Linked DNA regions of Cricetulus griseus. The protein of the gene in region 1 binds, or shares a complex with, the protein of each later gene. Links are inferred from orthologs where the notes say so. Each region holds a gene or a part of one and is shown on either strand. Other genes may lie near its edges.

Region 1 (3,751 bases):
CCAGCTTTCAAAAATACATAAACTTCTTGATTGAGAATGTTTTAGGGCTCTCTCTGAAAAAGAAAAAGGCTATCTCAATTCTTAATGACTTTACGCCTACATAAAAGTGAAAACTTACATTATGTTCCTTCAATGCTAGTATAATCCTCCAAAATGTAAAATGTATTTACACATTTTCCTATTTCTTTTTTACACCCAGGTTTTGCAAAACAGAACCACTTGCCTGATTCGGCCTTTCTCTTTTCTCCCCTCTTTTTGGAGTCAGTGGTTTCTGGGGTTTCTCTTTGTGGAGGTTCTTCTACTGTCTTTGGGTTGGGGTCCTGGACATTCACAGTAGAACTAGATGCACCATCACTAGAAAAGCCGTAATTAGCCTGATACGTAGCAATGAAATCTTCAGTGATCTAGATGGGTTAAGTCAGCACATATGCAGACATGGTTACTTCATGTGTTATACAACTGTACATTCAGTAATATAATCTAAGACTTTAACAAGTGTTTATGCCAAGGGTAGTTGTAATAATTAAAATATAATAGGAGAGCAGTCATCTTATATAGAAACTGTAACACGAAAAAAGTACGAAACTATGAAAAAGTGCTCAAACTACCAACAAAAAAGTATGAGAGAATTTTAAGTGATGCTAGCACCTTTTCTAGTTGTCTTATAAATTCTTGCTTCTCCACAGTATATCTGACTAAGGTGGCCGATACAGAGAACAAAAGAAGTATCAAATAATGATACAGAGTAAAACCAAAAGTCAACTAGAAATCTAATCACAGAATCCACTTTTGGATGCACAAAAATACGTATGTACACTAAGATTTTTATGTTTATGTATGAAGCTGGAAACTGCTAGAACACAAAATGCCCATTTGAGTTTGAGCACTAATTCAGAGAAACGCTTAGTGACAGAACAAAATCAAAGGCAAGCCTGATACACACCCATCGCCCTGGCTTTGCAGGGGAACCCACTATTGTAGAATGGCTGAATGGCTGAATGAGTTATGAGTTATGACTATCACTTTCAGGTACACAGAAAAGTGAAAATTTTACCCCCAAAGTTTGAAGAACCAGGGTTTTAAGTAACGTAAAAGATAAAGTTACCAAGTAATTGCCGTCGGACTATTAAAAGGGCTCAGAAGGTAGAAGAAATCACATCTACATTCAAGGTGGCATTACAAGTCCAGAAACGGGATAGCAAATTTCAACAATTTGGGGAGCTTGAGATATGGACAAATATAAAATAAGAAAGAATAGCTGAAATACTTTTTAAACTAACACTCGGTCTACACAATGGAGACAAGTTTTTTTGTGATTGGCTCCCAAGTCACTTGACGGGCTGTTCGTAACCTTTAATACTAATGCCCCTCCTAGGCTAAGACTAACAGCGTACTTTCTCCATACAGCTTACACTAGTTATTTCCACGTTGAAATTAAACACACAGCAATTTCCAAGTACTCAAAACGAATGTAGAGACCTTTTCCAACCATTTTCTGTGCTTTCCCAGTCATATTCCTGTGGTTACAAGAGTCAAACTTAGATGCCCTGGAACAAAATTCAGTAGAAAAATAAACCAAGACGCAAGGAAAGTTTATTCAATAGAGTGGGGTAAAAGCCTTCTTTCCCGCCCCCTAAATCAACAAGCTGCATTTTATCCACAGCATGGACACTAGACATCTCACAGGTTTGGCTATACAGGATAAAACGGTTACAAATGTGTTTTCCTTGGTGTTTTTCCTTTTGGCAATAAAAAGCAGTCATCAATATAACGCCTGTGACCTTCACAAAAATTAATAAGGCATAAAGAACATTTCAGGCACCACCATAAGGTTTTCTTTCCTTTATACATCGGATACTGGAACGGACGGAACAGACGAGCCATCAAGCAGCGGTTCAAGGACCTAGTACTTGAGAAGAGCAAACGTAAGAGGGGGTGTCCGGCAAGGGTGTCCAGGGGAGCCCACAGCCACGCTCCGCAGCGGCAGTCCAGCCACCCTTTTCTTACCTTGGGGAACCAAGCCTTCTTGTCAAGGTCCCACTCGTAGGGAGTGTCATCCTGCGGTTGTCCCCCCGCAGATTCCGTTTCTCCGGAGGCATCGTTCGGGGTGTCACCGTCCTTAGGGTCCCCGTACAATTCTTGCATTCGCAACTGTTCGTCAAACTCGTCGTTCGCGCTCAAGTTGTTGCCACTCATGTTTCTGAAGCGGGGCCGGGAGCAGCGTTCAGAGACGTGAAGAGGCCGACAGGGCGCTGGAGAAGTGAGAGAGCCGGAGGTCGGCAGAGCTCAGGTCGTGTGCGGTGCAGCCCCCTTGGCCCGCCTCCCCGCAACGCCCCAGCAGTCCCTGGGAAGGCTGAGCCGCGCCGCGCCGCGCCGCGCCGCCCAGGCTCCGCCCTCCCGGCCGGCCCACAGGCGCGCGCGCGCGCGCGCACTGGCGTTCCGAGGCCGCCGGCGGCGCAGTGGCCGCCACCCCACCTACCTGGCGGGCTCGGCGGGGCCTGGACGCCCCCGCTCGGGCCAGGGCGAAGCGGAAGCGCGCAGGCGCGCCGTCACCGCCACCGTCGGCTCCGGAGGCACCACAGCTCCCTCCCGCCTCAACAGGAAAGTCGCTTGAGAACGGAGTCCGCCTCAGGCCGATGCGGTCGCCATTGACCGCGCGTGGCGACGTAGCGGGTCGCGCTGACACGCCCACTCTTGCGTCAAATGGCCGCGACGCGGGGCGGGGGCGGGGCGGGGGCGGGGGGGGGGGGCGGGGGGGCGGGGCGGGGCTGCCAGGGAAGGCTGCCGCCGGAGTGTCCGTGCACCCGATGGGGACGCAAGCCTGCAGGAATCCATGACACCGCAGGGGCCTTGGGCCCGGCGGCGTCCTCTGCACTTTGGACGAGGCGACAGCCTCATTCTGACAGCAGTGCTGGCGCGGGCTGGGCTTTGCGGCAACCGCCATCTTGGGGAGGTGGGTGGGACCGTGGGGACAAGTTTCTCCCGCTTCGCGAAAGCCATGCGCCTCTTTTCACGCCAGATCCCGCCCCTGCGAAGGAACCAAGTATATCGTTTTGAATTTCTTGTCCTACACTACACGACACACGGCTTTTGCTCATCTCAGTAACCCAAACCAGTAACATGCTGTTTGGGATCTAGCGAAGAGTGAGTGAATAAGTGACTGAACATGGGCAGAAGGTCCCATCACCTCCTAAGCTCACCCCCTTTTTATGCATCTGGTAGCACCTTCCCTTCAGGTTGCAGTTGCTGAGGGTAGCAGTTGCCTGCATCATACTGCAAGGTACCAGAGGTGCTGAGGCCTGGAACTTGACGCTTGACTGTAAACATCCCCGTGTACAAATGCCAGCTGGACCATGTGGCTCGGTTTCTTGTCTCTTAGAAAGGCAACCAACTAACTGCCATAAGCAGAACTTTTCCCCAAAATACTTCATGTCTCTCTACACGACAAGGGGTCCATGTTTTAAAACAGGCAGGTTTATACTGCACTCCTATTAAGTGCCAGGCACTGGGGGAGGTTCTGGGACAGCAGTCGGGAAGACAGGCACAGATAAGGGAGACTCACTTATGATTTGGCGAACAATAAAATAGAAGTACCAGAAGCTGGAGAGCAGACATCATTTTGTTTTCAGCATCCTTTTATACTCAAAAACCTAGAAAATTCCAAAGTGTTTGTTTTAAATGTGGATTGCGGTTATCAACAATATTTGTTGCTGTAATCTTAACTATGCAAGTAAAATTTTAATTCATTAAA
Region 2 (3,651 bases), on another chromosome or scaffold:
CGTGTGCCTGGGGGTTTCTAATGCAGTCACAGAGTCAGTGCTCCTTTCAGGAGTAAAGCTGTAGGTGCAGAAAGAACCTTTAACTGACACAGCTTTCTTCTTGTTCTCAGAGACACTGAGAGGAACAAAGATATTGCTTTCCTGGAAGCTCAGATCTATGAATACGTGGAGATTCTAGGGGTGAGTGCATTGTCTTGTGAGAGCTGTGGTGCTGCTCCGTGTGGGAATTAGATATGAAGAATTTTTTTCCCACGTTCAAATAAGGAGGGGGTAGGCAGAAAATTCATTTTAAATTGTGGTTCTCTTGAAGTCCTTGGCCCTTCAGTAGGTTCCTGTTCTGTTGTTAAGTGATATTCCCAAGGCTGCCCAATTCCCACAAGGCCAGACATAGACAACAGACCCCCCCACCCTTTCAGCCAGATCAAGAATAATGCAGCTCTTTGCTGAGGTTCAGCATAGACCGGGGGTGACCCAAGAAGCAGGCACTCAAAAGGCAAGACAAAGGTGATTCATAGCAGCGCTTCAGGGGTGATTTACTGTGACACAGTGTTCTGCCCATGTGGAGATTGTAAAACCAAGCAAGGCTAGAGGAAGGCTAGTACCAAGACGGCTATGAACATTCCTGCATTGTCTCAGGGAGTCCCAAGGGTGGGTGGGAGGTGGAACAGGTTTGACTTGTCCAAGATAACTTGTTTGTATATCTGCCCTTTCTGTGGACAGAAATAAATGATTCTGATTTATTTTTAGCACCCACCAACACAGCTGGGGAAGTAGTCCCCTGCTGCTTCTCTAATGAGTGAGTCTCTTGAAAGATTGGTCAGACATTAGATGTCCGAGGCAGTGACCATGGGCTGTTGTAATGTGGGTAGCAGTGTGGGTGGCCAGTCCTCTGAAGCTGGCTGAGAAGCCATTACCTCCGTGCCCTTGGCCTGATGTATGCCTACTGCTTTCTCCCTTTTCTGGAAGTGTTTTGCTTTTTCAACCAGGACATGGCACCTCTGAATTCTAACCAGTTCTACTGAATTCTAACTAGTTCTAGCCTGTGCTTCCCAAAGTTGCTCTCACTCTGAACCATAGGATGTTTGTCATTACTTCGCCATTTATTTATGGCTGTTGGTTTTGAAGCATTATACTGAATTTTCCATATGAAATGAGTGTGTCGTGGTCCTTAAGTACCTCACACTGAGGTCAGAGAAATGAGTGGCTGCATTGAAAGTCAACCAAATAGGGAACTCATTGTGAATGGAAGTGGCCGTCTTGGGCAGGGCGGTCACCACAGTAGAAAGACTGGCTCAGCAGTGCTGAGACCTGTGAGGATCCAGGCTTGTGCACTAAAACCTTGGACTTCCTTCAGAACCAGGTGTGGACTGTGAGCATGGTTCTAACAAGAAGGCAAGACTTACTCTCCTATTTTCTATTAATTTTTAAAGTTACTGAGTGGGGTGTGTGTGTGACAGAGATACATGTGTATGTATGACATGTATGTGACGTGTGTGAATATAGTCTCACATGTGGAGGTCAAAAGACAAGTTTCAGGGGCTGGAGAGATGGCTCAGCAGTTAAGAGCACTGACTGCTCTTCCAGAGGTCCTGAATTCAATTCCCAGCAACCACATGGTGGCTCCCAACCACCTTGAATGAGATCTGGTACCCTCTGCTGGCATGCAGGCAGAAGACTGTATACATAATAAATAAATAAAATTCTTTAAAAAAAAAAAAAAAGACAAGTTTCAGGACTCTGTTCACACCTTCACACCTTGGTCTGAGGCCCCATCTCCCTCCCATTGGTACTGTGCTTCATGCTGCAGACTAGTCTGCCATGGGCTTCCAGGTGAGTCTCCTGTCTCCACCTCCCATTGTGTTCTAAATGCTAAGATTGTAGATGTGGTTTTTTACCTGGATTCTGAGGCTTGAACTCAGGTCATCAGGCTACCTGGCAAGTACTTTTTAAACAGCAGAGCCGTCTTGCCAACCCTTATTCTACAACCAAAACCTATCCTTGGCAGGAAAGCATCAGCAAGAGTTAGAGAAACTGTCCCTTCATGTCTACACTAATTTCCTCTGTCTTTGCTCTTTATTACCCATCTTAGGAACAGCGACAGCTCACTCATGAAAATGTACAGCGCAAGCAAGCCAGGACAGGAGAAGAGCGAGAGGAGGAGGAGGAGGAGCAGATCAGTGAGAGCGAAAGTGAAGACGAAGAGAATGAGATCATTTACAACCCCAAAAACCTGCCCCTGGGCTGGGACGGCAAAGTAAGCCTCATGGGACCCCTCTCCTCTCCCATTGTGGAAGCACACAAGAGCTTGGTAATCTAATGCTGTTGTTTGGTTTCTTTTAGCCCATCCCCTACTGGCTGTATAAGCTTCATGGCCTGAACATCAACTACAACTGTGAGATTTGTGGAAACTACACCTACCGAGGGCCGAAGGCCTTCCAGAGGCACTTTGCTGTAAGAAGTTCAGAGCCTTTTCTCTTGGGAATTGAGTAGAAACAACTCTTTAGAGAGGAGAATGGTAGCAGTCTGTGAAGGCCTCTAGTGTCCAGAGCTGAAAGGAATCAGAGAGGCCTGTGCCAATGGCCATCGGCTGTGCTAGCCCTGAAACCTGGGTCGTATCTGGAATCGTGCTACCACTCTGCTGTGGAACTTCATGTGGCTTCCTCCTGCTTGTTCTTATACTTTTCTCTGGAGACAGGGTTTCTCTGTGTAGCTTTGGAGCCTCTCCTGGTACTCACTCTGTAGACCAGGCTGGCCTTGAACTCAGATTCACCTGCCTCTGCTTCCCAAGTGTGGATTAAAGGCTTGCGCCACCACTCTTTTCTTGTTTTTCTATAGCATCTTGGACCATCTCTGGCTTCTTGGTCGTCTCTACATTGCTATTAAAGGGGGCTGAGCAGGTTTTTGTAGTTGTGGGTTCTTTTTAGGTTTTAAATAGGCCTTTGCCTCTTTGCAGAAAAAAATAGGCCCTGATATTTACTGACCTATTCTTGACACAAGTTGTGTCTGAGTACTACTACCTCATTTTAAGTGGGTTCACCCTTGTTGCATTCTGTCCATTTTTGGAGGGCATTTTACATAATGGAAGAGACTTAATACTAGACAAACATGGCGAATTACATGAACTCCCCTCTGAGACATGTTACTAGCTGCCCCTGGGTCTTTTTCTCTATGCCTCTGATGAGCTGAGTTTTTCTTAGTACCACCTCAGGTGATTGGGGTTGGTGTCCAGGATAAAGCCTATGGTGGCTTTAAGCTGAAGTTGTGATTTCACCATGCTCTGTCTGCTCAGCAGTTTGCTCCTGTACCTCCAGGGATACCAGCCTGCCCTCACAGCCCTGCTGCTATGGTTGCTGGCTCTATCAGCTTCTCCATAGGATTGAGTAATGAGTCTGAGTTGCACTTTTCTAACAACACCAACCCTGGAATCTGATGTTTGTAAGCCTGAGACAGTGCAGCCCTGCTTGACATTGCCAGCCTGTGTCAGTCACAGCCAGCTGTGTGTGTAGACACACCTCAGAAGGGATGCTTCCTTTTGCTGGAGTTGGGTCTGGTAGAATGAAGTGAGTGCTCTCTCAACTGTCTCTGCTTCACATTGTCCCTTTGCTTCTCTTCTAGGAATGGCGTCATGCTCATGGCATGAGGTGTTTGGGC

The links.
Region 2: Htatsf1 (region 1) and Sf3a3 share a complex: the UniProt entries of both Homo sapiens proteins name them as parts of the 17S U2 SnRNP complex. The link is inferred for Cricetulus griseus from reciprocal best matches to the Homo sapiens genes HTATSF1 and SF3A3.

Annotation. Positions count from the first base shown.
Region 1 is NC_048604.1:15,383,427-15,387,177, forward strand, and holds the start of Htatsf1 (HIV Tat-specific factor 1), read right to left. Parts: upstream 2,623-3,751; 5' UTR 2,480-2,622; intron 2,253-2,479; 5' UTR 2,197-2,252; coding exon 2,008-2,196; intron 405-2,007; coding exon 224-404; intron 1-223. UniProt on the Homo sapiens protein: Component of the 17S U2 SnRNP complex of the spliceosome, a large ribonucleoprotein complex that removes introns from transcribed pre-mRNAs.
Region 2 is NC_048595.1:28,339,903-28,343,553, reverse strand, and holds part of Sf3a3 (splicing factor 3A subunit 3), read left to right. Parts: intron 1-110; coding exon 111-180; intron 181-2,089; coding exon 2,090-2,254; intron 2,255-2,340; coding exon 2,341-2,451; intron 2,452-3,615; coding exon 3,616-3,651. UniProt on the Homo sapiens protein: Component of the 17S U2 SnRNP complex of the spliceosome, a large ribonucleoprotein complex that removes introns from transcribed pre-mRNAs.